Linked DNA regions of Ovis aries. The protein of the gene in region 6 purifies or fractionates together with the protein of the main gene of each other region. This does not show direct contact. Links are inferred from orthologs where the notes say so. Each region holds a gene or a part of one and is shown on either strand. Other genes may lie near its edges.

Evidence for each region.
Region 1: the proteins of KPNA1 (region 6) and PHAX purify together in Homo sapiens (co-immunoprecipitation; 4 studies listed by BioGRID and IntAct, with this or other methods). This does not show direct contact. The link is inferred for Ovis aries from reciprocal best matches to the Homo sapiens genes KPNA1 and PHAX.
Region 2: the proteins of KPNA1 (region 6) and NOPCHAP1 purify together in Homo sapiens (co-immunoprecipitation; 3 studies listed by BioGRID and IntAct, with this or other methods). This does not show direct contact. The link is inferred for Ovis aries from reciprocal best matches to the Homo sapiens genes KPNA1 and NOPCHAP1.
Region 3: the proteins of KPNA1 (region 6) and CHD3 purify together in Homo sapiens (affinity purification with mass spectrometry; 3 studies listed by BioGRID and IntAct, with this or other methods). This does not show direct contact. The link is inferred for Ovis aries from reciprocal best matches to the Homo sapiens genes KPNA1 and CHD3.
Region 4: the proteins of KPNA1 (region 6) and ALKBH5 purify together in Homo sapiens (co-immunoprecipitation; 3 studies listed by BioGRID and IntAct, with this or other methods). This does not show direct contact. The link is inferred for Ovis aries from reciprocal best matches to the Homo sapiens genes KPNA1 and ALKBH5.
Region 5: the proteins of KPNA1 (region 6) and MTA2 purify together in Homo sapiens (co-immunoprecipitation; 3 studies listed by BioGRID and IntAct, with this or other methods). This does not show direct contact. The link is inferred for Ovis aries from reciprocal best matches to the Homo sapiens genes KPNA1 and MTA2.
Region 7: the proteins of KPNA1 (region 6) and ARID2 purify together in Homo sapiens (co-immunoprecipitation; 3 studies listed by BioGRID and IntAct, with this or other methods). This does not show direct contact. The link is inferred for Ovis aries from reciprocal best matches to the Homo sapiens genes KPNA1 and ARID2.

The regions. Positions count from the first base shown.
Region 1 is NC_056058.1:25,008,643-25,013,250, forward strand, and holds the start of PHAX (phosphorylated adapter RNA export protein), read right to left. Parts: upstream 2,979-4,608; 5' UTR 2,958-2,978; coding exon 2,862-2,957; intron 1,214-2,861; coding exon 600-1,213; intron 1-599. UniProt on the Homo sapiens protein: A phosphoprotein adapter involved in the XPO1-mediated U snRNA export from the nucleus.
Region 2 is NC_056056.1:174,141,139-174,145,512, forward strand, and holds the start of NOPCHAP1 (NOP protein chaperone 1), read left to right. Parts: upstream 1-1,392; 5' UTR 1,393-1,681; coding exon 1,682-1,796; intron 1,797-3,911; coding exon 3,912-3,998; intron 3,999-4,374. UniProt on the Homo sapiens protein: Client-loading PAQosome/R2TP complex cofactor that selects NOP58 to promote box C/D small nucleolar ribonucleoprotein (snoRNP) assembly. Acts as a bridge between NOP58 and the R2TP complex via RUVBL1:RUVBL2.
Region 3 is NC_056064.1:27,388,644-27,392,518, reverse strand, and holds part of CHD3 (chromodomain-helicase-DNA-binding protein 3), read right to left. Parts: intron 1,946-3,875; coding exon 1,833-1,945; intron 1,345-1,832; coding exon 1,174-1,344; intron 917-1,173; coding exon 792-916; intron 1-791.
Region 4 is NC_056064.1:34,171,333-34,175,207, forward strand, and holds part of ALKBH5 (RNA demethylase ALKBH5), read right to left. Parts: intron 1,644-3,875; coding exon 1,488-1,643; intron 746-1,487; coding exon 568-745; 3' UTR 1-567.
Region 5 is NC_056074.1:37,480,441-37,484,985, forward strand, and holds the start of MTA2 (metastasis-associated protein MTA2), read right to left. Parts: upstream 3,142-4,545; 5' UTR 2,761-3,141; coding exon 2,733-2,760; intron 2,629-2,732; exon of another isoform or gene 2,354-2,628; intron 2,001-2,353; coding exon 1,933-2,000; intron 1,557-1,932; coding exon 1,463-1,556; intron 1-1,462. Other genes in the region: EML3 (echinoderm microtubule-associated protein-like 3), read right to left, coding at 3,777-3,980, 4,063-4,193, 4,487-4,545. UniProt on the Homo sapiens protein: May function as a transcriptional coregulator. Acts as a component of the histone deacetylase NuRD complex which participates in the remodeling of chromatin.
Region 6 is NC_056054.1:187,729,994-187,733,868, forward strand, and holds part of KPNA1 (importin subunit alpha-5), read right to left. Parts: intron 1,888-3,875; coding exon 1,756-1,887; intron 761-1,755; coding exon 672-760; intron 328-671; coding exon 228-327; intron 1-227. UniProt on the Homo sapiens protein: Functions in nuclear protein import as an adapter protein for nuclear receptor KPNB1. Binds specifically and directly to substrates containing either a simple or bipartite NLS motif.
Region 7 is NC_056056.1:140,644,040-140,647,914, reverse strand, and holds part of ARID2 (AT-rich interactive domain-containing protein 2), read left to right. Parts: intron 1-265; coding exon 266-462; intron 463-721; coding exon 722-3,582; intron 3,583-3,875. UniProt on the Homo sapiens protein: Involved in transcriptional activation and repression of select genes by chromatin remodeling (alteration of DNA-nucleosome topology). Required for the stability of the SWI/SNF chromatin remodeling complex SWI/SNF-B (PBAF).

The DNA.
Region 1 (4,608 bases), on a different chromosome or scaffold from region 6:
ACACTGCACTATGTGAAAACAGTCAGGCACAAAAGACTACATATTGCGATTCTATTAACATGAAATTTCCAAAAAATGCAAATTGACAGCAATAGAATGATTAGTTACCTGGGAATGGGAATAGGAACTAACTTTAAATGGGCATATGGCATGAGGGATCTTACTGGGTGATGGAAATGTTTTAAAAGTGCTTTATGGTTGTACAATCGATAAATTTACCAAAAAAAGGTCAAACTTAAAGAGGACAAATTTTATTACATGTATAATAAGCCTCAATAAAGTTGTAAAAACAAAAAAAACACTCCAAGAAACCCACATGATTTAAAAGGATCTTTTTATCTGAGGAGTTCTATAGCCCTCAATAGAAAGAGAGGCTCAAAGTTCACAAAAATCTACAAAATTATTCTATCAGGTCTGCCCAAATTTAAGAACAGCCAACCATATTCATATTCATATAACCACATAAGCCCAGTTCTTGCCTTGGATTTAAAAATCTCAGAAAGGAACACCACCATCAATGTATTTGGGATCTATGGTATATCTTATAAATGGAAGACAATTGGTCAAGTGTCCACTTGTAGAAATATTTAAATGCTCACCTGAAAGAAATTTCATCAGCCACCCTCTCCTGAGAATCATCCTCTGTGATCTCATAGCGGCCTTTATAGTTCATTTCTAGTCTGTCTCCTACTCTCTCTTTGACAGGTCGTTTCCTTTTGGGATGACCTTGCCCATTTTCCTCCTCCTTTGGTCCCATTTTTTTGCCACCATGCATATATTCTTCTAGCTCTTTGTCTAATTCTTTTGTATGTTCTTGAGATTCTCTTTTAAGTTTCTTAGCAAGTAAATAATTGTAGGTCTCAGACTGTCGGCTTCTGTCAATAGTGCCCTCCATTCCCAAGATACCAAGTTCAGTGGCCACTGCGTCTTGGTTCTGTTCTTGCAGCACAGCACTCCATATGTTGTTCACCTTCTTCCTTCCAGCTATAGGTGGTTTCTGGCTGCTCTGGTCAAACTGAAAAGGCTCTGGTTTGGGAGGGGTGTTAAAACATTTCTGTCGCTTGCGTTTCCAGACAGAGCTATCATCATCTGAATCTGAAAAGCTCTCTTCACTTGAATCCACACTTTTAACAGTCCGATAATGGGATGCCGGGGCACACACTGTTGCAGTACTCTGGAAGGGCCGCAGTGCACAGTCCCCACCTAGCGCTTTCTGCAAGTGAAGGAAAATCACAATCAACTCCACAAAAGACATTACCCACACACCCTGTGCTATTTAAAAAAAAATTAGGGATTCAGCTGAACCATTTTAAAGCAGCAGTGATCTTTGAAGATCTCTGAAACCAATTCGGTGCCTGAATTTCTAAAGGTTTACATGGAACTTCCTTTTTGGCCACTTGAGGATCCCTGTGAGTGTTAGCCTGTGTCACTCGGGTATCCTGCAAGCAGCCAAAAAAAAAAAAAGGGGAGAGAGAGAGAGAGAGAGAAATCCATGTAAGGGACTGAACTGGTTTCAGAGATCTTCCAAAGATTACTCCCTAACCAGGAATTGAATCTGAGCCCCCAAGGTCGATGTGGCCAATATTAACCACTAGACCACCAGGGAACTCCCTGGAATTTCCATTTTTAAAGCCACAAATTCTTATTTCTATATAGCTAATGCAGCACTTAGTGCTAAAACAGCTTTCCAGAAAATTATCAAAGCTCTTAATTCTCACTTTCAGAAGATTTTCAATCTTTTCAGTTGTCAGAACGTTTGAAAATCACATGTTGAACAATTGTTACAGGCAGTTAGAACTTGTTTTCCTCTTTTCCAAAGGTGCCTGTCATGTATGTGGATATATCAACTACCTTTATAAGGTTTTGGGACTATGTTCCTTTTAGACTAGAGAGTGAAGTCCTATGTGTAAGCATCCCTGACAAATTACTTGTAAAACCGCAGAGTCCATGGCATTACGTTTACTAAGTCAGGAGTCAATCTAAGGAAAATTGAAAAAGATTGAAGAACAAAATATCTTGGTACCGATTTCCCAAGATGCTTCTATGCAAAAGGAATCACCTTTGCTTTTTCAACTAAACATCAAAGTATTTGTTGAGCTCCTAATCCGTGCTAGAAATTGGGGAGGGGTATTTTAAATCTAGCAGTCTCCGTATCTGGAAACAATAACGGCACTAGCACTTGTCAGCCACCATTTAGGCTCCACCGAATCCTTACAGCCACCTATCACTGTGGTACTATTATTCCCACTCTAAAGATGGGGCACAGGCTGAATACCTTGTCACCGAACACACAGTGGCGGCTCTGGAATTCCAACGCGGGCAGCCCGGCACTAAAGCCTTCTCAAAACAGCTTGCTACTTAGTAGGGCGGCCAAGATAAACGCCTGTTTAGAAACCTGGGAAGCTAACATAAAACCCAGCGGCACATTAGGGCACGACGAAGCTAGGTTCCATGGGAATATGGAAGAACAGGCCCCTGAGCAAGAGATGAACTTCATTCTCGATCCTCACTCCCTTTCTCCTCGGGGCGCAAATGAGCGCCACAGGCTGGTGGTGGGCCGACGTCCCCACGTTCTACATGTTCGGGAGAATTTGCCCTTCGGGGAGAACCCAGCGACGCCCAGTGGGGAATTCCGTAGGTTTAGAAAACAAGGAGAGGAGCACGGGAGGCGGGAAAGACGACCGCACGCCCGCCTCCGGGAAGCCGCACGCCTCGCGCACCCCGCCTCGCAGCTAAATGCCAGGCCAGGTTCGTAGGGCCCGCCGTCTCCCCGCCGCCTGCCGGGCTCCGCGCGCCCGACAGGAGGACGCCTGGGCCCCGCGCTCCCGGCCCCGAGTCACCCGCCTGCCCTCCGCACTCACCGGCACCGGCAGCGGCCTGTCGCTGGGTGCCACCGTCATGTCGGAATCCGAGTCGGAAACCTGCCCATCGTCCATGTCGCCGGCCTCCTGCGCCATCTTCCCCCGGCGCGGCGCGGCGGGCCGGGAGGGCACTTCCGGCGGGGCGGCGGGCGGTGGGTGCTCGGGCGCCCCCGCGAGGGGGCCTCTCTCGCCCGGGCCGCCTGAGTCGAGACTCGCTGATGTTGCGTCATCATTGCAAACTGCTCCCTTGTGCTGCCTCAACACCCTGGCGCCTTCGCTTCTGACCTGCTCTCTTCAAACCTAAAGATGTGCACGCATGGCAGCCGTGAGGGATTCCTCCCTCGGTCTCACAGTCCTCGCCTGGATGCTCCAGGCCGGCCTTTCTGCATCTAGTCTTGCTCCTGTGTGATCCACTGCAAGGAGCTTCCTGGGGAGCCTTCCAGACGGAACGTGAAGTCTCCGCCCGGCTCAGACCTCAGCACAGCTGACAGAGCTGGAGGTGTGTGCTTCAGGCTGGGGTCCCCTCTCCTGCTCTCCAGCCACGCTGGCGCCTCTCACGTTGTTCCTCAGGCACCCTTGGTCCTTTCCCGGCCCAAGGGCGCTGCAGTTACTGTTCCCTCGGCCTGCAGACCCTCCAGTACCCCACACCCCGTTCTTCCGGAGATTATGCTCTCACATGATTCAGAATTCTGATTAAATGTGCCCTTCCCACAAAGGTCTTCTTCAAGCACTCTCACTAAAACAGGGTCCTTTCTTTACAGTCACTCTCGCACCCTTTTTATTCCTTCATGGCTTCAATAGTCATATGCCTATGTGTTTAATTTTTTTGTCTGAATTCCCCACCAAAATGTCTATTTTATTCATTTTTTTCTGCCGGTGCCCAGTCCAGTGATTTCTTGTATGTAAACATGGTGAAGAAATATTAATTGAATTTTTTTCGGCAAAAGTGAAGTGAAGTCGCTCACTCGTGTCCGACTCTTTGCAACACCATGGATTTTAGCCTACCAGGATCCTCCACCATGGGATTTTCCAGGCAAGAATACTGGAGTGGGTTGCCATTTCGGCATAAAGGGGATCTTATTGTTTGTACTTTTTTACTATTCTGTAATCTCCTTTCAAAAAGAAACAATATAGCTGTTTATCCAGGATGCTTTTCTAGACCAAAATATAAAGATCTAGCTCCTTTTTAATGACTTCCCAGTTTTTCCACTGCATGGAGGTAGCATCATTTATTTAGTTTCTGATAGTGTACATTTAAAGTGTAGCCAGTTTTGCAGTGAACATGTCTTTTTACAGACTTGTTTTATTATTTCCTTAGTATAGACTGTATGGGAAAAAATGAATTTATATTTTTGAAATATGAATTTAGTACCTATAAAGGAACTTAGAAGTCACTTGGGCCCATTTTATTTTGGTAACTGAAGGGAGATTACATAGCTAAGCTATTGCAGACATCTGTCCTGACTCCTGGAGAAGGAAATGGCACCCCACTCCAGTGTTCTTGCCTGGAGAATCCCAGGGACAGGGGAGCCTGGTGGGCTGCCATCTCTGGGGTTGCACAGAGTCGGACACGACTAAAGTGACTTAGTAGTAGTAGTAGTAGTAGTAGTAGTAGTTCTGACTCCAGGTCTCCTAATAGGTCTATTAGGTTGTCTAAGGTCTCCTCTTAGACAACTGATATTTTACTTCTTTTGCATAGAATTACAGTTCCCCTGAATGGGTTCTTGTGTGTAGTGTGAGGTAGGAG
Region 2 (4,374 bases), on a different chromosome or scaffold from region 6:
TCTGCTTTCTCCCCCTTTTTTGTCTTATATCCATGCTATCAAAACCTATAAAAATTAAAGACTATTCTTTCAACCTTATTCTCACTGTTTTCCCCCAATTCTACTGTAAAATACTACCAAAACTTAAGTTGCATTTCTCCAATTATTTTCTGAATCATATTTTCTAGGAAATTCCTCAAGGAGAGTTTGGGAGCAATATTTCCTGAGTTCTTGTATGTTCATAATGGTCTATGTCTCTAAAATATTATCATATATCTGATAAGAAAAGATAAATAACTCCTACAATTCAACACCAACAAAGCAACCTAACACAGGCAGTGGATGTGAATACACATCTCTGCAAAGTAGATACACAAATGGCCAATGAATAGGTGAAAACATGCTCAATATCACTAATTGTTCAGTTCAGTTCAGTCGCTCAGTCATGTCTGACTCTTTGCGACCCCATGAATCGCAGCACGCCAGGCTTCCCTGTCCATCACCAACTCCTGGAGTTTACCCAGACTCAAATCCATCGAGTCAGTGATGCCATTCAGCCATCTCATCCTTGGTCGTCCCCTTCTCCTCCTGCCCCCAATCCCTCCCAGCATCAGAGACTTTTCCAATGAGTCAACTCTTCACATGAGGTGGCCAAAGTACTGGAGCTTCAGCTTTAGCATCAATCCTTCCAAAGAAATCCCAGGGCTGATCTCCTTCAGAATGGACTGGCTGGATCTCCTTGCAGTCCAAGGGACTCTCAAGAGTCTTCTCCAACACCACAGTTCAAAAGCATCAAGAGAAATGCAAATCTAAACTACAGTGAGTTATCACCTCACACCAACTAGAAAGAAAGAAAGAAAGAAAGTGAAGTCGCTTAGTCGTTTCCGACTCTTTGAGACCCCATGGAGTGTAGCCTACTAGCTCCTCTGTCCAAGGGATTTTTCCAGGCAAGAACACTGGAATGGGTTGCCACTTCCTTCTCCAGGGGATCTTCCCAACCCAGGGATTGAACCCAGGGCTCTCGCATTGCAGGCAGATGCTTTACCATCTGAGCCACGAGGGAAGAATCCAACTAGGATGGACAGCCACTATTTAAAAAAAAAAGAAAGAAAGAAAAAGCAAATAAACATTGACGAGGATGTGGAGAAATTGGAGTCTTTATGGCACCCCACTCCAGTACTCTTGCCTGGAGTATATGGGTTTTTTTTTTAATTTAAGATTTCTCTTTGATGTGGATCATTTATAAAGTATTTATTGAAATTATTTTTAATATTGCTTCTGTTTTATATTTTTGTTTTTGTGGCTGGGAGACATGTGGGATCTTAGCTCCCAGACCGGGAATCCAACCTATACCCCCTGAACTGAAAGTCCAAGTCTTAACCACTGGACAGTCAAAGTGTGTTCTACGTCACAGAGGTTTGAAGGGGAGGGCAGCCCCCATGGTGCGCTCTTCACTTTTAAATCCAGCCTTGCTAACTCTTTGATCCAATCACAGATCTCTAGAGTCTCCACCTACCCTTTCTCCGGATAGGAATGGCCTCCTCACTCCGCTAGGTGCCGCCCTCGCCGCGGCCCTCCCTCGCCCTGCCCCTCGCCCCGCTCCTACGAGTTTCCTCCAATCGCAGTCCTGGCCCCGCCTCCTACCCCAGCCTTTTTCCTGCATCCGGGCTTGAAGAGGCCGCTGTGAAGGCCAGCGAGCAGCATGGAGGTTCGCGGCGAATCCCAGTCCGGCCCAAGCTGTTCGTCGTCCTCCCGGGATGGCTCCGGGGTCTCGGTCTCCAAGGAGTTGCTGATGGCAGGGAGCGGCGGCCGCGGAGGTGACGGACGGGTGGGCGGCAGCGGCGTGGGGCGCGCACGTGCAGCTGGGGGCGGCGCTGCTGGAGCCGCGGGTCAGGGGCTACCTGCGTAGCCCCTGCACCGCCGAGGGACCCGGACATGCCCCCGGCTGCGGGGTTGGGGGACTGGCCGGCCTAGGTGTGGGCATCCGGCCTCGAGCCCGAGGGTGGTTTGTGTTTTCATGTTTTAGGCACAGTGCTGAGTGCCCAGTGCTGAGCGCCGCAGCACGACCTCCCCTCGCCCCCCTCCCCCTCCCAAGGGGACGACCTTAGAGTCAGGTCTGGGTTCCAGCAGTTGGCTTAAGGGGAGCAGGTGAGTATTATGGATTGAGCACCCTCTCTCTGCAGATGTTCACAGAGCCTCCCTTAGTGCGCTCCCTTAGTGAGCTGCTCTGGTAGAGGGAGACGCGTCCAGGAAACCCTCGTAGGTTTTTAGACATCATAATAGAGAGCTAAAAAAAACAAACAAACTAGGGTTCGAATCCCAACCCCACGAGTAATTAGCTGTCGAACTCTTTTTGGAGGGGGCCGGTGTTGGATAATAAAGTTCATTCGAGTGGGAGACGCTGTTAGAACAGATGGCTGGCTCAAGGAAGAGCCAACCAGCTGTGGAACCTTTTTGTGGCCAATGTCCGACGCTTTGCGACCCCATGGACTGCAGCACTCCAGGCTTCCCTGTCCTTCACTATCTCCCTGAGTTTCCTGAAACTCATGTCCGTTGAGTGGATGATGCTATCCAACCATCTCATCCTCTGTCGCCCTCTTCTCCTCCTGCCCTCAGTCTTTCCCAGCATCAGAGTCGGGCTCTTCACATCAGGTGGCCAAAATATTGGAGCTTCAACTTCAACGTCAGTCCTTCCAATGAATATTTCAGTGTTGAGTTCCTTTAGGATTGACTGGTTTGATCTCCTTGCAGTCCAAGGGACTCTCAAGAATCTTCAGCACCATAGTAGGAGAGTTGTTTACATCCCCAGTGCTTCAGTTTTTACATTTGGAAAATGGAAGTAGTATTACCTATAATGTTTGTTTGTTTGTTTGTTTTCTGAGAAGAAGAATGAGTGTAATGTTGTGGGCATATCCTCATTAAATGTTAACTTGAAAAAAGATTCTGTGAGAATGGAGAGCATTCGAAGACAGTATAATAATAGCTGAAGCTTCTTAGTGCCTACTCTGCCCCAGGAATTAATTCGCTAAATTTAATCCTCACAACCTCCCTGTGTGGAGTTGGTTCTGTTAGGGCAGTTGTATAGAAGAGGAACCTGAGACCTGGTGTATCACACAGATAAGTAACTTGTTGGAGATCATGTGGGTGGAAAGTGGCAAAACTGGGATTTGAATCCAATCAGTGTGGCCCCAGAGTCCATGCTCTTTTCACTAATCCAGTTATTAGGTATAAGCTATTGATAGTACGCTAGGAGTGTTGAGCTGCTGCTTTGAGGGTGAACAGGATTTTTATACCAGAGTGAAGAGATTTTCCAGGTGTGGGAACCAGGGTGCATAAAGCCTTGGGTTTTGAAAGTTAAGTCCTGTTCTCTGTGCTCTGATGGGCTGGAGAGTTGGGTTGATTTGAGGAGCTGTGAAAAGGCTAAAGGGGTTCTCTTTAAAGGGCTGTTTTGTCTACATCAGACATCTTGACTGAAAGGGAACTTACCAGGCAGAGATGTTTTATAAATGAAGAAATTAATACTCAAAAAGTGTAGGTGATTTGCCCAGTATAATGCAACTGGTAAACCATTTCTGGCTTTACTTAACCCTTATGTACTCTGTACTGCTTCCTGCATTCTGTCAGTGCCGACCTACATTTGTTGCTGGTAGATTTCTGGCCCAGAAAGGTGCAGTTTAGTGGGCATTTATTACCTGACATTGGTGAGGCAGAGATGTAAGAGACAGGTTTAAAGGGGGGAGATCTGCAGAAAGAACTAAAATGTTGTAATGAAACTTGGAGTGCTCTTTTTTTTTTTTTTTTTTTTTTTAATGTGTTAGAAAGTGAGGAAGGAACAGTCAAGACTTGAGGATGGAGGGTGGTCTCAGAAAGTCTGCTCTTGGGCTCCTGTTTCTTTGTGCCTTAATAAAGGAAGTGTGTGTGTGTGTTTTCAGGTATATGGGACAGGTTGCTCATCGACTCCAAGCCTAATTCCAGAAAGAATTCTGCTCTTCAAACAGTTCGGATAGAGAGGAGTCCCTGTAAGTACCCTTCCCTCTCTTCTCTTTCTCTCTCTCAAGAACCCTCTCTGATGTGAAATTCTGCCTAATTAATCACTTATTTGTTGGGACAGTGTCTGCTTTTGTTGTCAGAGTCCATTCTAGCAAGTCTTACTTGGAAATTACATCGTGAATTCAGTGCACAGGGATAAAATTTCTTGCATTATTCCCCTGCAGTAAGAGGGCGGGGCTTAAACCATGCAGGAGACTGGTTTGATTCCTTGGTTGGGAATCTCATGGACAGAAGAGCCTGGCAGGCTACAGTCCTTGGGGTCACACTTAAGAGGGTAACCTTGCCCAGAAAAACTTGTGGGATGAATTTTTGGAATTCAAAATCAATTATTGTTAAACTCCATGG
Region 3 (3,875 bases), on a different chromosome or scaffold from region 6:
GACTGAACTCTGCCTGGCCCCACAATATGGAATGGGCTGAGCTTTCCATCTACCACCCCATCAAAACCCAACCAAAGTACATACTTAGTCACCTCAGTCATGTCTTAACTCTTTGTGACCCCTTGGACTATAGCCCCCCAGGCTCCTCTGTCCACGGGATTCTCCAGGAAAGAATACTGGAGTGGGTTGCCAGTCCCTCCTCAAGGTACCTACTATTTGCCTATTTCACAGATGCAGAAACTGAAGATCAAAGTGAGCTGCCCAAGAAGCACCAGGACCTGAATTTTAGCAGGCTGTCTCCAGAGGGCTGAAGGGCTCTGCTAAAGTGCCTGCTTCCCCCAAAGGCATCTCTATTGTTCTCTCCTCTACTTTAGAAGCTATTGACTTGCAGGTGCCACTCTCAGCCTGCACTACTACTGCTGTCTAAGGGAAGGGCAGAAGACTCGATAACCGAGCAAAGGAAACTGGGAAACACTGATGCCACCTCTCCACTCCAGTCTGATGAAAAGTCAGGCAGGGTAAACTGGAACTGTTAAGAGCAGAGAGGGCCATCGGTCACCAGAGTTTTCTAACCTAGCCGTGGAACTCTGATCCCCAGTGAAAAGTTCCTGACTAGAGTGCTTGGATCCTGGAATCCAGGAATTCTCTGATATTACATGGGAGTTAGGTGTGTCTGTGCTGTGAATTTCTCTGGACAGCCATTTTTTAGCTTTCATCAGATTCCAGAGAGGTCCAGGGCCTCCCTCAAATTAAAAGCATCGGCTAGTGAGGGTTCCCCAGCCCTACCGTACCTCATGAATTGGCTGAAGGCTTTGTAGTTGGTGAGTGTGTGGTAATCTTCCTCGGAGAACACATGTTCCACGTCCTCCAGGCCCCAGGTCAGAAGTAGGGTTGCTGATGACTTCTGTTCCACTTGCTAGGATACCAGGCTTCTGTTAGCCAGGTGCTCTCCTAACTCCAGTCCTGGGCTCCCCCCACCCCCTGACATGCCTCCCTGCCCACTCACCAGCTTCTCTGGGCTTCCAGTTTTCTGTTCCATTCCCAGCCCAATCCCACTCCTCATAAACCACAGCCTCTCCATTTGTCACCCTGCTTGCCCAGGGCTCTCCCTCCCCTACTCTTCAGGCTTGTCATTGATACAGATTTCTTCCCTCACTCCCCAAATCTACTCACCTTTTGCCCCCCCTCTCCCTCCCCTTTTTTCCGCCGCTTTGTCTTCTTCTCCTTTTTTTCTCGGTGCTTCCGTCTCCGTTTCCGACCTGGTCCGGTTCCATATTCACTGCCTCCACTCTCTGACTTCTCCCGGTACTCATCTCGCTCAGAGCCAAATTCCTCCTCGCTGTCCTAAGGAAGAGAAATAAAAACACTATTTTTTGAGCCCTAGCGTGTGCCAGGAACTCCTCTTAGCACAAAATATCATCGTCTCTTTTAAACTTCACAACAATCCTATGAGACAGCAACTAATCTATTTTTATCCATTTTTTTTTTTTTGTAGAGGAAACTGAGGCACGGAGAGCTAAGTAAGCTGCCCAAGAAGATAGAGGACTGCTGGGCTGTGAATTCATGCAGTCTACCTGCAGTGCTTCCAACAGCTTCTCTGTGTTGCAGGGCAAGTAAAGTCGACAAAAGGGCTCTTCACTAGGATGTAGTGAGTAAGGTTAGGGTCCCAGACCTGGGAGATACAGGCTAGCAGGAGTGGGGCTAGGGGCAGGCAGAGGGAGTCAGGTCTCCCTGACTTCAGGGTCCCCATGGCAATCAGGCCCAGAGAAATCATAGGTCTCTGGGATGGGTCTCCAAGCCTCACTGTAGAGACAGGCATGCGTAACACTTACAAGCTTCTTGCGTTTCCGGGGCTTTCCTGGCTTGTTCTCCTTCTGTTTCTTAGGTCCTCGCTTCCTCTTCTTCACGCCCAATGTTGAAGGCAGCAGTCGAATGTCATCCTTATCTTTGGAGCAGACAGCACCGGAAAACCTAAGCCTCTAGGCTCCCAGCCTCTGCAGCCCTTTTCCTCCCTCACCTCCTTGGTTCCTGCTCTCTAGGAAATCCAGCATTAACTCTTCCAAACCTTGCCTCCCTTTGCTGGACGCAAACAGAGAGTGTTTCGAGTACTCTGGGATGCCTGGGTTGTGAATGGGAGGTCAGGGGTCAGAAGAGGAGAGCAGCCAAACCACTCCTGTCTCTCCCCTCCTACTAACAAGGGACCAGGCTCTAGGCCATGGGCTCTGACTGTGGCAGGTCCTTTTAGTCGCCGCCAGGGCTCCTCCTGCCTTCCCCCTCACTTAGCCAGCTGGCATCCTGCCCAGGAACTGGGGAAGCCATGCCCAGCTGCTGGCCTGGCCTGACCCCAGCACTTGGAGTGGGGAGACACAAGCTGGCAGCTCCCTAAGCCAGATGCTGAGAAGGCAGAGCCAAAGGTGGACACCTGGGCTCTCACACTAACACCCTGGGGCCCTGACATCCTTTCTGTGAGGAGTGAGGCCTCTATTTACACTTCCTCAGATAATCACCCAGACTCCTGTCACCCCAGCATAGCCCTGGAGGAAAAGAAACCCTCAGTCAGCCATGTTCACTTCTGGCCCACAGGATCTTGGTGTCTGGCTCCTTTGTCACTCCCTAGCCCCACAGGAGAAGGTCTCCACAATTACCTATACATTCTTCCTCCTCCTCCCAAGCAGCCTCAATTGTGCCTTCAAATCTACATCCACATCCCTGTTCCCTTTGAGAACTCAGGCGCCCTACCCGTTGTCCCTGGTCTCACCCCTTGCCTCCAAATGTAGTCTCAAGCATTCTAACCCATTCATATCTAAGCAGTATGGGAGACCCACACAAAGACACTGGACAGGCATAGACACACCCCTCAAATGCATTCTCAAATGCACAAGCATCACATACTCATGAGCACAAACCCAGAGGACAATTTGTACATGCTTTTAGCAGGGCTAGGTCCCTGGCTTTCTCTCCAGATGTCCCTGTCAGACAATCTGGGGCTGGTTCTTCCCAGATGTCCCCCTCTCCCCATTCTCCATGACCCCTGCCACACTGTGGAGGCTTAGGGTTCAGAGAATAACTACTTCAGGAGGAAGACACAGCCGATGCCACACAGAAGTGAGGCCCCGGTGTGAGGCCTCCCTCCCCCAGCAAGCACTAGACTAACCAGCCAGACCTGTCCTGCTCAGGTAGAGGCAGCAGCGCTGGAGGGAAAAGCCTGGGCCGGCCCAGCCCCTTGCTCTAGGACACACAATCCTTCTCCCCACAACAGCCAAGGGAAAATTAGCCACAATTTACACCGGAGGCCTCGGGTTTCCAGCGCCTCAGAATCGCGGCGCCTCCTTCCTTCAGTGCTACTTCTCACAGCTCCGGCATCCTGTGCCCTCTCGCGCGGGACGGCACTCTAAAATTGGGGGGCTGTGGCGCGGGGGGGGGGGGGGGGGGGAAGTGCCTGCAGGCAGCCCGGGGTGTGAAAACAGAGTGGGTACCGTAATAGGAAGTCAGTAAGACGCCGTGCCCCGCAGCCAGCGCTCTCTCACCCCAGGGACTCCGCTAATACGAACATGGAAACGGAGGCTGCCGGGGCAGTAGCAAGGGCAGGCCAACTGGCTGAGGATCAGGGAAATGGCCTCGGTCTCCGCCAGCTGGGGGTGGGGTGGTGGGGGGACACCAGCCCTGGGACCTCGCAGCCAGTTAACTCCACTCTCCACCCCAGCGGGAGGTTCCCCAACTTGGGAAGACGGCGGTAGTGCGGGGACGCAAAGTAGACGGCTAGGAAAGGAGAGGGAGGGCAGGAAAGCAAATCTAAGTCCCAACCTCTGCCTCACCAGCCACTCAATGCTGGCCGCGCGCCCAGACTCTCCCACATCCCGGCTCAGATCTCGGAA
Region 4 (3,875 bases), on a different chromosome or scaffold from region 6:
ATGCAAGAAGCCCGAGGTCTCAGCCAGTAACAGCTCTACGGCAGCAGGGGCTGACACCATCCAGGCTTCTGCTTGTCATCTCCCCAACAGCGGCAGGAGGGGTATCCACTTGAGCTGCTGGGCCTGGAGAGCAGGTGAGCGGTAGGAAGGCAGCAGGCCCCCTGCAAAGCCAGCAGGACCTCACCCCAGTGCAGACATAGGTGGGAGGAGAGGGAGGAGACAGAACTTCATTTACAACACTGAGAAGATTTACATTTAAAGCAAAACAAGAATTTTCTTAACCAAAACATTTCGCTGTTTTTAAATAACCCAGCCTGACACAGCCCTCCACGCCTCTACTGGCCCCTCCAGTGTGCGCTTCTGTGCCTACAGATGCCAACAGCCTTTCCATCCAGGAGGAAACCCAGAACAAGAGAACCAGGTCCTGGCCAATCCCGTTCTTCAGCCTTAACAGGCAACAAACCAAGGGGAAAAAAATAGAATAAAAAAAAAAAGGGGGGGGGACCCTCAAAACAGAACAAAAGGAGGGGCAGCTAGTGAGGATCACGCGAGTCCGGAGGCGCTGCCTTAGTGCCGCCGCATCTTCACCTTGCGGGCGGGGCTGCCCGCCGCCTCCGAGCAGTCCTCCCCGGGCTCGTAGGACTTGCGCCGGTAGTTCTCGGAGCTGAAGCGGCCCGCCCGCCGGTGTGCGGGCAACAGCACAGACCGCCGGTTCTCCTCCTTGTCCATCTCCAGAATGCGAGGCCTGTGGGGAGGCATCAGGGAGGCATTACCCAGCCACCCCCGCTGGCTGGTTCCCTGTGGGGCGGCACTGGCAGAAGCACTGCCCCGTGCCCTGGCCCCACGAGATGCCAGTGCCCCAAACCCAGTTTCTGAGATACGCCCCAGTCACCCGTGGGTCTGCTGGGCTCTGACTCTGTACCCCAGGACACTACCAAGGTTGTCGGACACAAGGTGGCCTTCCCATCGCAGCCTTGAGACCCTGCCTGGTCCTGCTGCCTCCCTGGCTTCTCAGTCCTCCTCAATGCCCACTCTCCCTCTCTGCTCACCAGCCCCACTACCCGAGGAACTACCAAGCTCTTCCTGGCTTGGGGTTTCAGCCTACATGGCACCTTCTGACCGTACTGCCCTTCCTACATACCATCCCATCCTCCAGTCTTGGTGTAAACAGCTTCCTCAGAACCCTACTGGGAGGAAACCCTGCTCCGCAAACTTCCAAGTCCCTCACTTCCCCTCCAACTCCCACAGAACCCACAGGAGCACCTTAGCGTGTCCTGAACAAGGGGAGGCCTGCAGCATCCCCACAGGAAGGTAGTCAGGGCTTAGCTGGGAACACCACCAACTGCAGCAAAGCAGACAGAAGGCTCTGAAAAAGTGGGCGATGGCAGGCTCCAAACCACCTACCCCAGACCACCCACCCATCTCACTCTGCAGTCAGGTAGTGGCACCGCTCTGCTGGCCTGCACTGAGGGACCACAGCTGAGTACCTGTGGGCAGCATCGGGGTCTGCCTTGCGGTGGGACCGCTTGGGTTTCAGAGCAGGGTCCCTGTTGTTTCCCGACAGACGATCTGAGGCATAGCTGGGTGGCAGCACGGAGCTGCTCAGGGACTTGGTTTCCAATCGGGGTGCATCTAATCTCGTCCTGCAAAGGAAACGCATGTGGGGTCACCCGCAGGGCTCTGGGGAGGACATGGCCCCATCAGACCAACTCTGGCCAGGCTAGGTGAGGCCAGCACTCTCTGTTCTATGCTCCCGTCTCCTCGTGGGTCAACTAGGGACTGGTCCAGCTGACTTGCAAAGACCCTGCTGCCCCAGGGAAAAGGACCCCAGGGCTCTCTCAGCCAGATGGGGCGGCCCCACCTCACCCCTCTCAAGCCTAGAGACCCTCCAGGGACGTGTGCTGCACCTGCCAGAGGACTGGGGTCCCACACTCCCAGACATGCCCACCCCTGCCTGGAGACCCAACAGGCAGGTCCCCAGGTCCAGCGTGTGGAAGGGCTGGAAGTGAACAGAGGCAGAGCCCAAGGAGGCCTAGGCCCAGCTCCACATTCACACATGGCTCTGGTCCCACCACAGCTACCTGGTAGCCTTTGCTGGTTCCTGAACACCGACCAACCAAAGGCCAGAGGGCTTCTGAAGGCAAAGCCCCCACCGAGCACTGGAACACAGTGCCTAGTCAAGGACGCAGGAAGAAAGGATGGAGAAGGTGGGTGGGGGGCAGCCCAGGGCAGCGATCCAAGTCCTTTATGATGTCAGGCCGGGGGAAGCTGGTGTGGGAAGCCTCCGAGAAGCCCGAGGTCTTTTGCGTGATCAGAGACAGCCAGCAAGTCAGGTGGCGAGAGAAGCTGGGGGCGCAGCTGGCAGGAGGCCCTGAAGGCACCTTTGCCATGGGCTGCTGGGCACAAAGGACAACTGGGTCCTGAAGAAGGTGCTGTGGCCAGGCAGGGCTCAAAGGACAGCCTCCCGAGAACACTGGGGGAAGAGAGCAGAGGGAAACATGAGAGCTGCCTTGGGTTCTTGGGAACAACTGCATCCAGTCCTCACAACAGACAAGAAAACTGGGTCAGTGAGGAGGGAGGTCATGTGTCCCAGAAGTCTTGAGAGAGAGCACTAGTCTAGGTGTGACTCCAGGCCTGGCAAGCAGGAGCCACAGGGCTCCAAACCTGGGCTGGGGTAACTCTCTAGAGGTCAGCAGGGGATGCCTCTGCAGCAGGGAACCAGTATTCTGATGTCATCAGACCCAAACTGGTGGACAGGCAGGCAGGGCCAGTGTCCCTGTCCCTTTGCTTTGGTCTCTCATATGGAGAAGCCAGAAGAACCTGGCTGCACCGACTGGCCCACCAGTCTCAGCCTCCCCTCTGGGGACCCCGGGCGACAGGATCTGGTAACAAGAGGAAGATGCAGCCCTGAGGCTACCCTCAGAGTCAAGCTAGTCACATCCCTCCCCTTCTGAGCAAAGGCTTCTCTCAGTTCTCAGGGTCCAGAGACCCAAGACAAGCTTCCTCCTTCAAGGCCAGGGGCACGGGGAAGAAGTGGCGCTGGGAGCACACCCCCGGGCAGGAAAGCCCGTGTGGGCAGAACTGAGGGCCCAGGACCGCCAGGTAGTTTTGTCAGGTGAGCGCGGATGGCCAGGGGAGAGTCTGGCCCACACCTCTGGGGCTAGAAGGCACACCCCACCACGCAGGCAGGGCTGGCAGTCACTGAGCCTGTGGGCCCCACCCTTCCTGAGCTGCTGGGACTACCACGGCCGGCCTGAACAGTGGGGGGGCCCTCACCGTGGGCCCACGACCACTGGGGCTGTGGGGAGACAGGTGGGACCAGCTGAGAGTGGACACCAATCAGGGCCACGGGCCAGGTCTCTCTCTAGCTGCCTGAAAGAAGGAGAAGAGCAAAGGGCAGCTTCCCACACCCGCACTCCACCACTGTCACATCAGCCCACAGGGAGGGGGTGATCAGAGGTGGCTCTACCAGGAGCCAGTCTCCCGACCCACTCTGGGGATCTATGAGATTGGGGCCCTGAAGGCTCCTGACACTCCCTAGAGGTTATGACAAGTACATCTCACAACCGATGGAGGAGCTCTACTTCCAACACCCACCAAGCTGCAAGAAGCCAGGCTAGAGCCAGACCCCCAGCCCAGAGCCCACCAGCAGTGTACCTTCAGAACCCACCCCTCTTAAAGGGCACAGGCCAGGATTCAGTGCACAGAGCCACAAGCTTGGAAGCAGAAAGTCCAGTTCTAGCAGTGAGGCCTGGGCCTCCTCCAGTGGTAGCAGAAACAAAGACCCTCCTTATAGATCTGAGTCAACGTCCAGGGGTCACAGCAGGACACCCCAGGTATGTCAGGAGAGTTCCCGAGACAAAGCATAGATTGGG
Region 5 (4,545 bases), on a different chromosome or scaffold from region 6:
AGAAGCGGGCAAGCTATGTTCATGGGGTCACAGAGTCAGACACAACTGTACATACACACGCTGAGAGTACAAAGGCTGCCACAGAAACACATGGCAAACCCAGGTGCCAATGCTCAGATACCACTCATATGGCACAAATCTGCCCACACCAGGCCCAGCAAGAATATTGCACTTGTCTCTTTCTTGCTAAACTAACCTGGGGTCCAGAAATTCAGTGACGATAAATAAATAAATAAAAGCATCAAACAAAATTGTGTTTACCAGTTCTGCAAATTTCAGGAGACTCTGCTCTTAAACATCACATGCAACCCTTACTCTCTTGTTTTCTACTTGCTAATAATAGTTTGTTTTGGGGGCTCTCAAGGACAGTACCTCTCAAGCCAGTGCCAACACCTTATTCCCCAAGGAGCTGCAACTTGCCCTGAAACCTTAGTGGAAAGGGTTAACTTGGTTGGGTGCCAACCAAACAGGGAGGGGGCAGAAGAGCCACAGGCCCAGGCTCATTGGTGCATTGTTCCCAACCTCAAGGAGAAGGGGGGGGCAGGGGTGTGCAGTAGGCTCCACCCCTTGCCTGTGTGCTCCGGAAACCCTGTGCTAAGGCAAGGGGGACCACACCCCCCACAGCCTTTCCGATTGGACAAGACCAAGGTCAGCCCCTGCCAGACAGGGTTGGAAACCCCAGAGAGCCAGAGAACTTGGTCGGCCCAGGTCCTCCTTAACCCCTTCACGCCCAATGCTCAAAGAAGCCCAAAATAAGGAAAATAATTTAGAAAGGAAGAACAAGAGAAAGGGGAAAGAAAGCCAAAGCAGGAAAGGAAAAAGAAACTATAAGAAAACAGAAAGCTGTGTATCTAAAAAGATGAAAGCATCAAGAGAAGCAGGATAGGCTGAAAAGAAAAGGGAAAGATGTAAAATGGAGTCCAGGGCTAGGTGAGTCCTAGGCTATGTGAGAATAGAGAAAAAGCGCAAGAAAATGTTCCTGGCTTCCTATTTTCTCCCATCAGTGTAGTCTTACCACCTCATGATCACACCAAAAACCTGCCTTCCTATTATGCAGGCTTCTCAGTCCAGTCTCTTCTCTTCACCTGACCTTCGCAGTCACCACCTATCATCCCAACACAACCGAAACTGTCCCCCTAGAGATCTGCTTCTCTAAAGTGCTTCCTCATCCCCGATTTACATACTATCATCTCTTTAACATACACCATTCACAAAGGCAGATTCAAAAATACACACTCACACACAAGCCAAATTCTGGCTTTCCTTATCATGGCCTCTCCACCTTGCTTCTAACCCAACATGTAAAAACAGGCCTCCCTCTGCAGACCAGGCACTTCCCACCCCCAAACTCACACCCCTGCCTTGGGCATGCTACAAGAGAACACCTGCAGGGACATGCCCAGGCTTCAGATCATGGGCAGGGGGAGACAGGGAAACCGGGGGTGGGGACAAAGACACTCACTGGCATTACTATCAGCCAGGCTGTTGAGGCTACTCGAAATGTCCCTTCGCCGGAAAAGGCACACAACCTTTGCCTCCACGTTTCCATTTGCAGTCTAAGGAGAGAAAAAACGGTGGTGAAAACTAATCATTTGAAAGTGGAAATGCATAAAGAAGAGACTAACATCAGTGAACAAGTTTCTAAAGGATGTAAGAAAAACTCAAATTATGAATCAAGAGATTCACATTTAAGGACAGACTTCCAAATCCCTTTCCTCAGCCCCCCAAAAAACAGAACAGTAAAGTTCCCACTAAACTCTTAATAGCCTTTCCTGAAAGCGTGGAAGAAATGAATGAATGAATATGCATGGGTACTTAGGACAGGGTTTCTGTTATCGCTTGTCTCTCATTCACCTGAAGTTACAGATCTCTGAAAAAAGAAGACGGAGGTTGCTGGGTAGGGGGGGAGTGGCGGGCCTCTGCTCTACTCACCTTGTTGAGCTCTTCAATCCTTCTAACCAGGTAAGGATTGCTGGAGGAGTTCTCAAAATAGACGTAATCTGTAGGAGGGGGTGGGGGAAGAACCGGGAAGATCAGAGGAGTAGATGGGAGAGTCCAGCACCAGAGTGGGAGGAGCGAAAGGAGGCCTGAGTAGACCAAAAGGAGATAAGGGTCTAGGTAGAGAGGACGCAGAAATGTGGAAGTGTACAGACTAGCAGAAAATAATGGACGGACGTTCCACCCCCTAATCACCCAGTTATTAAATCAGATCCTCCGCTCAAAAGTGAGCCTTAAGGAGGAGACAAGAGAAGCAGGGGGTTCCCCTGCTCAGCAGTCCCCACAACTCAGCGATGGAGTTGCATCCCGGTCTCGTTCAGGAGAGCAATTGCTCATCCCTGTACAGGGCCCCCACCTTTGTGAACCGAGGCGCACAATAACGCCTGGGAAAAGGAAACCTCCCGGCCGCTCCCCCGTTGGTGGCCAAGCAGTTGCGCCGGCCCTTCGCGCCCCCTGCCTGCCCTGTCAGCCCCTTTGGAACCACTTTCGCAAGCCCACTCCACGACCCCGGCGGCCCAGACGCTGCCCTGAGAGTGCCGTCGGGCCGCCCGCAGCCTCCCCGGGAGTCTCGGAGCCCGGGCGCGTCGCGATCCCCGCGCCCTCGCTCCCCATGCTCCCGGTTCCGGTTCCGGTCCGCGCTCTGGACCACGCCGCCCCAGACGCGGGTCCCCGCGCCGCTGGGAGCCGAGCCTCTCCCGCCCCGAGTCCCGAAGCCCCTAACACCCGGTACTCACCCCCCACTCGGTACATGTTGGCCGCCATGGCCGTTCCCGCCGCCGCCGCCGCCGCCTCCGGCCGCACAAAGGGGTCCGGAAGGCTCCCGAGGGCAGGACTCGAAGCGAAGCCCTGAGCGCGGGGCCGGCGCTTCGCAGAAGTCTCAGTCGGGCCCGCGCAGCCGGCGCCTCCGCAGCCTCAGCCGTCGCGGCTCATCCCGGCCCGCGCTGTCGCCGCCGCCTCTATAGCCTCACGCCCGGGACGCCGAGACCGGCGCCGGTCCGCTCGGCTTCTTCCGGAACGAGCTCGGATCCCGCCGGACCGGAGGCAGGCTGCAACTACCTCCGCCCTCGCCGAGTCCCACCAGACGTTGGACTCTGAGGGCCGCCGCGAAGACTTGCCGGCCCGCCTCGGGGTTCGCCTCCTTCCGGAACACCTTCGGCGGATCCGGAGAACAAGGCCCAGCACTCGGCTCCGGTCGGAGAGCAAGCCCGCAAAGCTCGGCTACTTCCGGAAGAAGTTCGGCTCCCTCCGGCCAACCGCGGCCCGGCACTCGGCTATTTCCGTTGCGGCTCGGCCCCGCCTCCGAGGGCGGGGAGAGGAGTTGGGCTTAACTCTCTGCTAGCCGGAGTCTTGCAGCTCCACCAGCGGCCGCGAAAAACTCGAAGGGCCTTTGAGCCTCGCAGTTATTTGCAAGAGGCTTCGCCTGTTATTTGCATAAAAAGTCCACCCTCCCTCACCTTTTCCGCATTCCCCTTTGCCTTCCTCCCCGCCCCCATAAAGCCCCGAGGCGCCCAGCCGCGCCCCACAAAAGGACCGGGAGGCGACTTTGCTTTTGGTTTATTGCCCCTCAGCAGGCAGCGGGAGTCAGGGCCCAGGCTGGGGCTGCCCGGCTCAGCCAGCGGGTCTATACAGTGTGTGCAGGGGTGCCGTTCGCCCCCTCCAAGGAAATGCACTTTTGGGAATGTCTCGAAGTCGAGGACAGGGTCACCTCGGTCCTGGGGAATTTGGGTGGGTGGGGGCAGGGCCACACTGCAGGGCCGGTGGGTCCAGTCCGGCAGGGGTCAGACGTCAAGAGAGGAGGCAGGGGACAGGGAGGGGGTTCGAGAGGGCGTGGTGGGCACCGGCCCCGTGCCCCCAGCGCCCAACACTCGCCACTGGAAGATGCTGGCGTCCTTGCCGCCCAGCGAGATGAGGTGCGAGTCGTCGTGCGTGAACCGGACGCTGGTCACGTGGCTGCCGTGACCACCGTACACGAGGCTCGGCGCCTGGGCAGGAGAGAAGATGGAGCTGCAGCGGCCGAGGAGCTCCGGCCGCCCGCCCCACCCCGGAGGCCCCGGGAGGCCTCACCTTGGCGTGCGCGCACGGGTACTGGAAGAGGTGCACTTTGCAGAAGTCGTCGGCAACGGCCACGACGCGCTCGTTGTGGGAGCGGCACAGGGAGTTGATGTCAGTTCCATCCGAGCCATCTGGCCACACGCCTGTCACAGCAGCCGGCCTCAGCCCGACCTCCCCGCCCCCACCCGCGGTCCAGAGCTGCACCATTTCCCCCCTAGCTCAGGCAGCCCGGCCACCCACCCACCACGTTCCTGGCAATCCTTCCCAGTCCCGAGGGCCAGTGGCGGAGGTGGGGGAGGGGGGCGGCTCTTGGGCTGGATCTGCCAGTTTCTTGACGTCCACCCCCTACACATGTCCAGCATTCCGAGCCCCAGGCTGGCTGCACCTTGTCCCCCCACACTCACGCAGGTTTCCACGGCCCTGTGCCCCTTCTCACCGTAGACATGGAAGCCCAGCACGCAGGTGTAGGTGGCCCACTCCCGGTCTCGGCTCTCA
Region 6 (3,875 bases):
AACCAGGCTGAACATCAGAAAGTTCACGGTTCATCTCTTACTAGCGTGTGAGATGAGTGCAACTGTGCGGTAGTTTGAGCATTCCTTGGTATACCTAGTTTTCTAGAAACAAAATTCTAACATTTTCGTTTATCAAAAATCATTCTCTTTCTATTCACATTAACATTGGTTGCTACACTCTTTTAACTGTACTTTTTCTGCCAATTTCCCACAAGCATAATCCTTACCTTTGCAAATTCTGGAGGTGGACTTTTCCCTCTACAGAGATTAGACAAAGCCCATACTGCATTCCGGGTCATAGTCAGGCGGTTCTGCTTTGAAAATAACCTATAAGTATAATGATGCAATTGGTAAATGATATAATGGGCATCAATTCTCTGATGGCATAAGATAAATATTTAACCACTTAATGCTACTGATAGACAGATGTCTTCAAATAGCTCTTCTCCAGAACAATAAAGTTTAATTCTAACACAAAGAATTCAGAATTTTGGCACTTCTTTTTACACACCTGAATAAGACAGTGCCCAAGGAAATGAGCTGAACAAGTTAATAAGAAAATATTTGTAATGAAAAGCAACACTAGGAAATCCAAAATGATTTCCAAAGATGCATTTGTTTCTGAGGAACGTCCCATATTTTTATTACTCACAAAACAGAAAGAAACTTACTGCAGAAGAGGGGGAAGAATATTGCAGTCTAAGACATAGTCCCTGCACATGGTACTATCTCCAGCAATGTTGCCAAGAGCCCAGACTGCCTGTGAAAGAATTATTCATTAATGACAGGCTGTAGAGTTTAATTTTCTCATAGTTCTTTCAAAAAAGATGCCAATAACACAGTAGCTAATCAACATATTGTACATGGACATTAACTACTAATACCTTTAAGCTCACTCATCAGGGAGTCAAATGAAACTGTTATGTGACTGGTAGAAGATCAGTAATATTAACAGTATGCATGTGAATATACTTATGGTAGTGAAGTCATTAAAAAGAGGTACCAGTTCTTATATATTCTTTACCTTAGGGGGTCTTATCCTTAAGTAACATTCTGTGCAGCCCTTGGAACATATCAGAGATCCAAATGGTTTACTCAGCTGATTTAAAATGTATTTTAAGCTTGCTTACAAAAGAAAACAGTGAGCCAAGAAATTAAGAGCAATAAAAACGCAGAAAACTTGACTCAATTTTGGGAAGTGGATATACTAGCAATCTTGACTGTAATCTTTCATGGGTACACACATATGTTAGAACTTACAAATTATACACTTTAACCATATGCAGTTAACTGTAGCTTGATTATACCTTAATAAAATTGTAGAATAAAATCGTACTCATTTAGTAACAATTTGTATTTATGAGTTTGACAAAGTTTGCAATAATGAAAAATGCATTTTTTTCTAAGTGATTTTCTGCACAAAAGTAACAAAGACTTGCTACTTCAATCAACACTAAACAGTATTACACACATACAAAAAAAACTCAGTAAGTGCTTACATGGTCTAAGATGTATATGTATGAGACTTCAAGAATTTCAGGGTTGGAATGGAAAAACGGTTTTATGTTTCTAGGAGAAATTCTGCCTATATTCAATATGAAACTTCCTATTTAGATTACATTTAGATTTCTGGAACACTCCATGTGAGAACCATGGACTGTCATATCCAAGTGGTAACACTAAGACTCCTGAATATAAGACTCAGGAAAAACTGTATTCTTTAACCTGCTTCTCTTTACTTGTTTCATCTTTTACCTGTTCCTGGACATCTTCAAACTCTGAGCTGAGCAACTCTATGAAGATAGGCACAGCTCCTGCCTGAATCACAATCCGGGTCTGAAGAGAATTTCCTGAAGCAATATTTGTCAGTACCCAAGCTGATTCAAACTATAAAGATAAAAATAATTTCATTATCTTAGTAGAATTTAATAGGTTGTTTACTTACAACAATAAGGTTTTCTTAAAAAAAACAACAACACTTTTCTATGCATGAAGAAAGAATGTGAGATCATTATTTGAATATAATCTATCAGGTAAATACTATACTAATTTAATAGAATTCCCAAAGAAATAACCTTCATCAAGAATACTGATTGGGTGTCTAAAATTTCAGATCCAAGTAGAGCTGACTGACATGAGACCACAAGAAGAATGAGGGAGTGTTTGGTACCATACTGTATTTTTCAAAAGGGTTAAGAAAGAGTATATGCATTAATTTACTTATTGCATAGGATATCTCTTGAAGGAATCATAATAAACTGTAAATATTTTCTACTTACATAGAGAGATCTAGGTGAATCAGAAATAAGTACAGGAAGGATAAACACTTATTAGAGTAAAACCTTTATATACCTTTTGGCGTTAAACCATGTTTATTATCTAATAAAAAAATTAAATAATTTCTATAAAATAGGAAAAGTGAAGTGGAGAAAGAATATTAGTGTAAAATGTATAAAACAGAGGCAGAGTGAAAAAGGTGGAAGACAATTTAAATGATTAAGTAGACCAAAAGGAGTTAACAGGCATACAACTAACAGAAATGGCAGCTTTAGAGTATAACAGATTCCAATAAATGAGCAGCCTTCAAACCAAGGCACAGAGGTAAGACTTTTTTAAAAAGAGCATTCCTAAAGGTTAATAAACTGGTAAAGAGAAGGAAATTATGAAGGATTATGGCCAACAAAAAATACAGCACATTATTAATCGTACACATCTCTATGGTACCTTGACTCTTTAGCCCAAAAAGATGAAATCCAAAAATAAACTCTTAAAATCCTATTTAGAGTTCTTAATTAAAATTCAGCTTTATTTCCTTCTCCTGTTCTGTCTCCTATTTAATATTCTTTAATGAAGTATATATGTGGTGGCAAAAAAATTTAGAGATATGCCACTTCAATGAGAATCTCAATTTAAAAATCATCAAAAAATGGAGCTGTGATTCTTAAGCTTTTGGGTCTACTGAAAGGTAGCTGTCATACAGAAAAATAAATCAATCACTTGGGGTATGGGAAAATGAAAGAAACGGGAAGGCAATCTGATTAGCACAGTCCAAAGATAAATGAATGAATGACAGTAAATTCACTTAAAGAAGGGGATATTCAAAAAAACCTATAAATGTGAAATACAGAAGTGAAATAAAGTGGTCTGAAAACCAGTTGGGACACTGATATTAAAGAAGCAGGGAGGCCAGACTAGGAGCACCACAGTTAAAGGGACTTTTTGCATGATAACTCCTTACTATAATCTTACATGCTAGTAAAGTAATGCTCAAAATTCTGCAAGCCAGGCTTCAGCAATTCTTGAACCATGAACTTCCAGATGTTCAAGCTGGTTTTAGAAAAGGCAGAAAAACAAGAGATCAGATTGCCAACATCCACTGGATCATCAAAAACGCAAGACAGTTCCAGAAAAACATCTATTTCTGCTTTATTGACTATGCCAAAGCCTTTGACTGTGTGGATCACAATACACTGGAAAATTCTGAAAGAGATGGGAATACAGACCACCTGACCTGCCTCTTGAGAAACCTATATGCAGGTCAGGAAGCAACAGTTAGAACTGGACATGGCACAACAGACTGGTTCCAAATAGGAAAAGCAGTACGTCAAGGCTGTATATTGTCACCATGCTTATTTAACTTCTATGCAGAGTACATCATGAGAAATGCTGGGCTGGAGGGAGCCCAAGCTGGAATCAAGACTGCCGGGAAAATACCAATAACCTCAGATATGCAGATGACACTATCCTTATGGCACAAAGTGAAGAAGAACTAAAAAGCCTCTTGATGAAAGTGAAACAGGAGAGTCAAACAGTTGGCTTAAAGCTCAAAATTCAGAAAATGAAGATCATGGCATCCAGGCCCATCACTTCATGGC
Region 7 (3,875 bases), on a different chromosome or scaffold from region 6:
TGATGCAGCTTTTTTATTAATTACATATATAGTAGAATTGTTTTAACCCTACAATGTTAATAATAATGATTTTTGAAATTGGAGAATTGATCTTTTAATTAATATTTAATTCCTTGTTTCCCCTCCTTGTAGAATATATGATTCATACTGGTTCATATATTAGTAGCAGTGAATATACTGTTGCTGTTTGTGTAAACATTGTTAGAATTCAGTGTTTTTTGTTAATGTGCTAGTTATTAAAATTGAATGTGTGTGTACTTTACAGAACAGTCTTTCCAAATCATACAGTGAAGAGAGTGGAGGATTCCAGTAACAATGGGCAGGCGCATATTCATGTAGTAGGAGTAAAACGTAGGGCTATCCCACTTCCCATTCAGATGTACTATCAGCAGCAACCTGTTTCTACTCCTGTTGTTCGTGTTGATTCTGTACCTGATGTATCTCCAAGTCCTTCACCCGCAGGTATTAATTTTTATTGTGATTAAATATTATCAATTTAATAAGAAGGCTAAATGAAAACATGTATTATATACATTTAAGATGTATGACTTGTCCTTGTTTTTCAGTAACATTTTATTTCTTATTCTATTTTATCATATTCATATAATGCAGAGTTGTTAATTTCTTAAAACTGTTTTCTCTTGAAATTAAGTAAAATAATTTCTACATGCTGCTTTTCAGTCATTTCACTGTGAATTTTAACTTTTCCTTATATTTTCAGGAATCCCTCATGGACCACAAACTGTAGGAAACCATTTTCAGAGGACTCCTGTTACCAACCAATCTTCAAGTTTGACTGCAACACAAATGTCTTTTCCAGTACAAGGTGTTCATACTGTGGCACAGACTGTTTCAAGAATTCCACCAAATCCTTCAGTTCATACCCACCAGCAGCAAAATGCTCCGGTGACCGTCATTCAAAATAAAGCTCCAATTCCTTGTGAAGTTGTTAAGGCTACAGTAATCCAGAACTCTATACCCCAGACAGCAGTTCCTGTTAGTATTGCTGTGGGAGGAGGAGCTGCACAGAGTTCTGTGGTTCAGAATCATAGTACAGGGCCACAGCCTGTTACAGTTGTAAATTCCCAGACACTGCTTCACCATCCATCAGTAATTCCACAGCAGTCTCCATTACACACAGTGGTACCGGGGCAGATACCTTCTGGCACTCCTGTTACAGTGATTCAGCAAGCTGTCCCACAGAGTCATATATTTGGCAGAGTTCAGAACATACCAGCATGTACTTCTACAGTTTCACAGGGTCAACAGTTAATCACCACATCACCCCAACCTGTACAAACTTCATCTCAGCAGACATCAGCTGGTAGCCAGCCACAGGACACTGTTATCATAGCACCCCCACAGTATGTAACGACTTCTACATCCAATATTGTCTCAGCAACTTCAGTACAGAATTTTCAGGTAGCTACAGGACAAATGGTTACCATTGCTGGTGTCCCAAGTCCGCAACCCTCAAGGGTAGGGTTTCAAAACATTGCACCAAAACCTCTCCCTTCTCAGCAAGTTTCATCAACAGTGGTACAACAGCCTATTCAACAGCCACAGCAGCCACCCCAACAAAGTGTAGTGATTGTAAGCCAGCCAGCTCAACAAGGTCAAACTTATGCACCAGCCATTCACCAAATTGTTCTTGCTAATCCAGCAGCTCTTCCAGCTGGCCAGGCAGTTCAGCTAACTGGACAACCAAGCATTACTCCATCTTCCTCACCATCACCTGTCCCAGCTACTACTAACCAGGTCCCTACTGCCATGTCATCTTCTTCCACCCCTCAACCGCAGGGACCACCTCCTACTGTCAGTCAAATGCTGTCTGTGAAAAGGCAGCAACAGCAGCAGCATTCACCAGCACCTCCACAACAGGTACAAGTACAAGTTCAGCAGCCACAACAAGTACAGATGCAAGTTCAACCACAGCAAACGAATGCAGGAGTTGGTCAGCCTGCTTCTGGTGAGTCGAGTCTGATAAAACAGTTGCTGCTTCCAAAGCGTGGTCCTTCAACTCCCGGTGGTAAGCTTATTCTCCCAGCTCCACAGATTCCTCCCCCAAATAATGCAAGAGCTCCTAGTCCTCAGGTGGTGTACCAGGTGGCCAATAACCAAGCAGCAGGTTTTGGAGTGCAAGGGCAAACTCCAGCTCAGCAGCTATTGGTTGGGCAGCAAAATGTTCAGTTGGTCCAAAGTGCAATGCCACCCACTGGGGGAGTGCAAACCGTGCCCATCTCGAACTTACAAATATTGCCAGGCCCGCTGATTTCAAATAGCCCAGCAACCATTTTCCAAGGGACTTCTGGCAACCAGGTAACCATAACGGTTGTGCCAAATACAAGTTTTGCAACTGCAACTGTGAGTCAGGGAAATACAACTCAGCTCATTGCTCCAGCAGGAATTACCATGAGCGGGACCCAGGCAGGAGTTGGACTTCAGGTGCAAACGCTTCCAGCCACTCAAGCATCTCCAGCTGGACAATCATCTTGTACCACTGCTACTCCCCCATTCAAAGGTGATAAAATAATTTGCCAAAAGGAGGAGGAAGCAAAAGAAGCAACAGGTTTACATGTTCATGAACGTAAAATTGAAGTCATGGAGAACCCGTCCTGCAGACGAGGAACCACAAACACCAGCAATGGGGATACAAAGGAAAATGAAATGCAGGTGGGAAGTCTTTTAAATGGGAGAAAATACAGTGACTCAAGTCTACCTCCTTCAAACTCAGGGAAAATTCAAAGTGAGGCTAATCAGTGCTCACTAATCAGTAATGGGCCATCGTTAGAGTTAGGTGAGAATGGAGCATCTGGAAAACAGAACTCAGAACAAATGGACATGCAGGATATTAAAAGTGATTTGAAAAAACCTCTAGTTAATGGAATCTGTGATTTTGATAAAGGAGATGGTTCTCATTTAAGCAAAAACATTCCAAATCACAAAACTTCCAATCATGTAGGAAATGGTGAGATATCTCCAATGGAACCACAAGGGACTTTAGATGCCACTCAGCAAGATACTGCCAAAGGTGATCAACTAGAAAGAACTTCTAATGGACCTATATTAACTTTGGGTGTTTCACCATCTGTGAGCAGTATACAGGAGGCCTCAAATGTGGCAACACAGCAGTTTAGTGGTACTGATTTGCCTAATGGACCTCTAGCTTCAAGTTTGAATTCAGATGTGCCTCAGCAACGCCCAAGTGTAGTTGTCTCACCACATTCTGCAACCTCTGTTATACAGGGGCATCAAATCATAGCCGTTCCCCACTCAGGATCAAGAGTGTCCCATTCTCCTGCCCTGTTGTCTGACGTTCGGTCTACAAATGGCACAGCAGAATGCAAAACTGTAAAGAGGCCAGCAGAGGATAATGATAGGGAAACAGTCACAGGAATTCCAAATAAAGTGGGAGTTAGAATTGTTACAATCAGTGACCCCAACAATGCTGGCTGCAGTGCAACGATGGTTGCGGTGCCAGCAGGAGCAGATCCAAGCACTGTAGCTAAAGTAGCAATAGAAAGTGCTGTTCAGCAGAAGCAGCAGCATCCACCAACATACGTACAGAATGTGGTCCCACAGGTGAGTCATTTTCCTGTCACATTTCTCTTGAAAAATCCTGATGCGTAATTATGATTTTAGGGGGAAATGCACTGTTCTTCCATGTTTTACCTTGAAAAGGTAATTGGGAGGACCTTTTCCAGGGATGAGGGAGCCCGGTGGGCTGCCGTCTATGGGGTCGCACAGAGTCGGACACGACTGAAGCGACTTAGCAGCAGCAGCAGCAGCAGCAGCAATGTACTCAGGAGAAGGCAATGGCACCCCACTCCAGTACTCTTGCCTGGAAAATCCCATGGATGGAGGAGCCTGAAAGG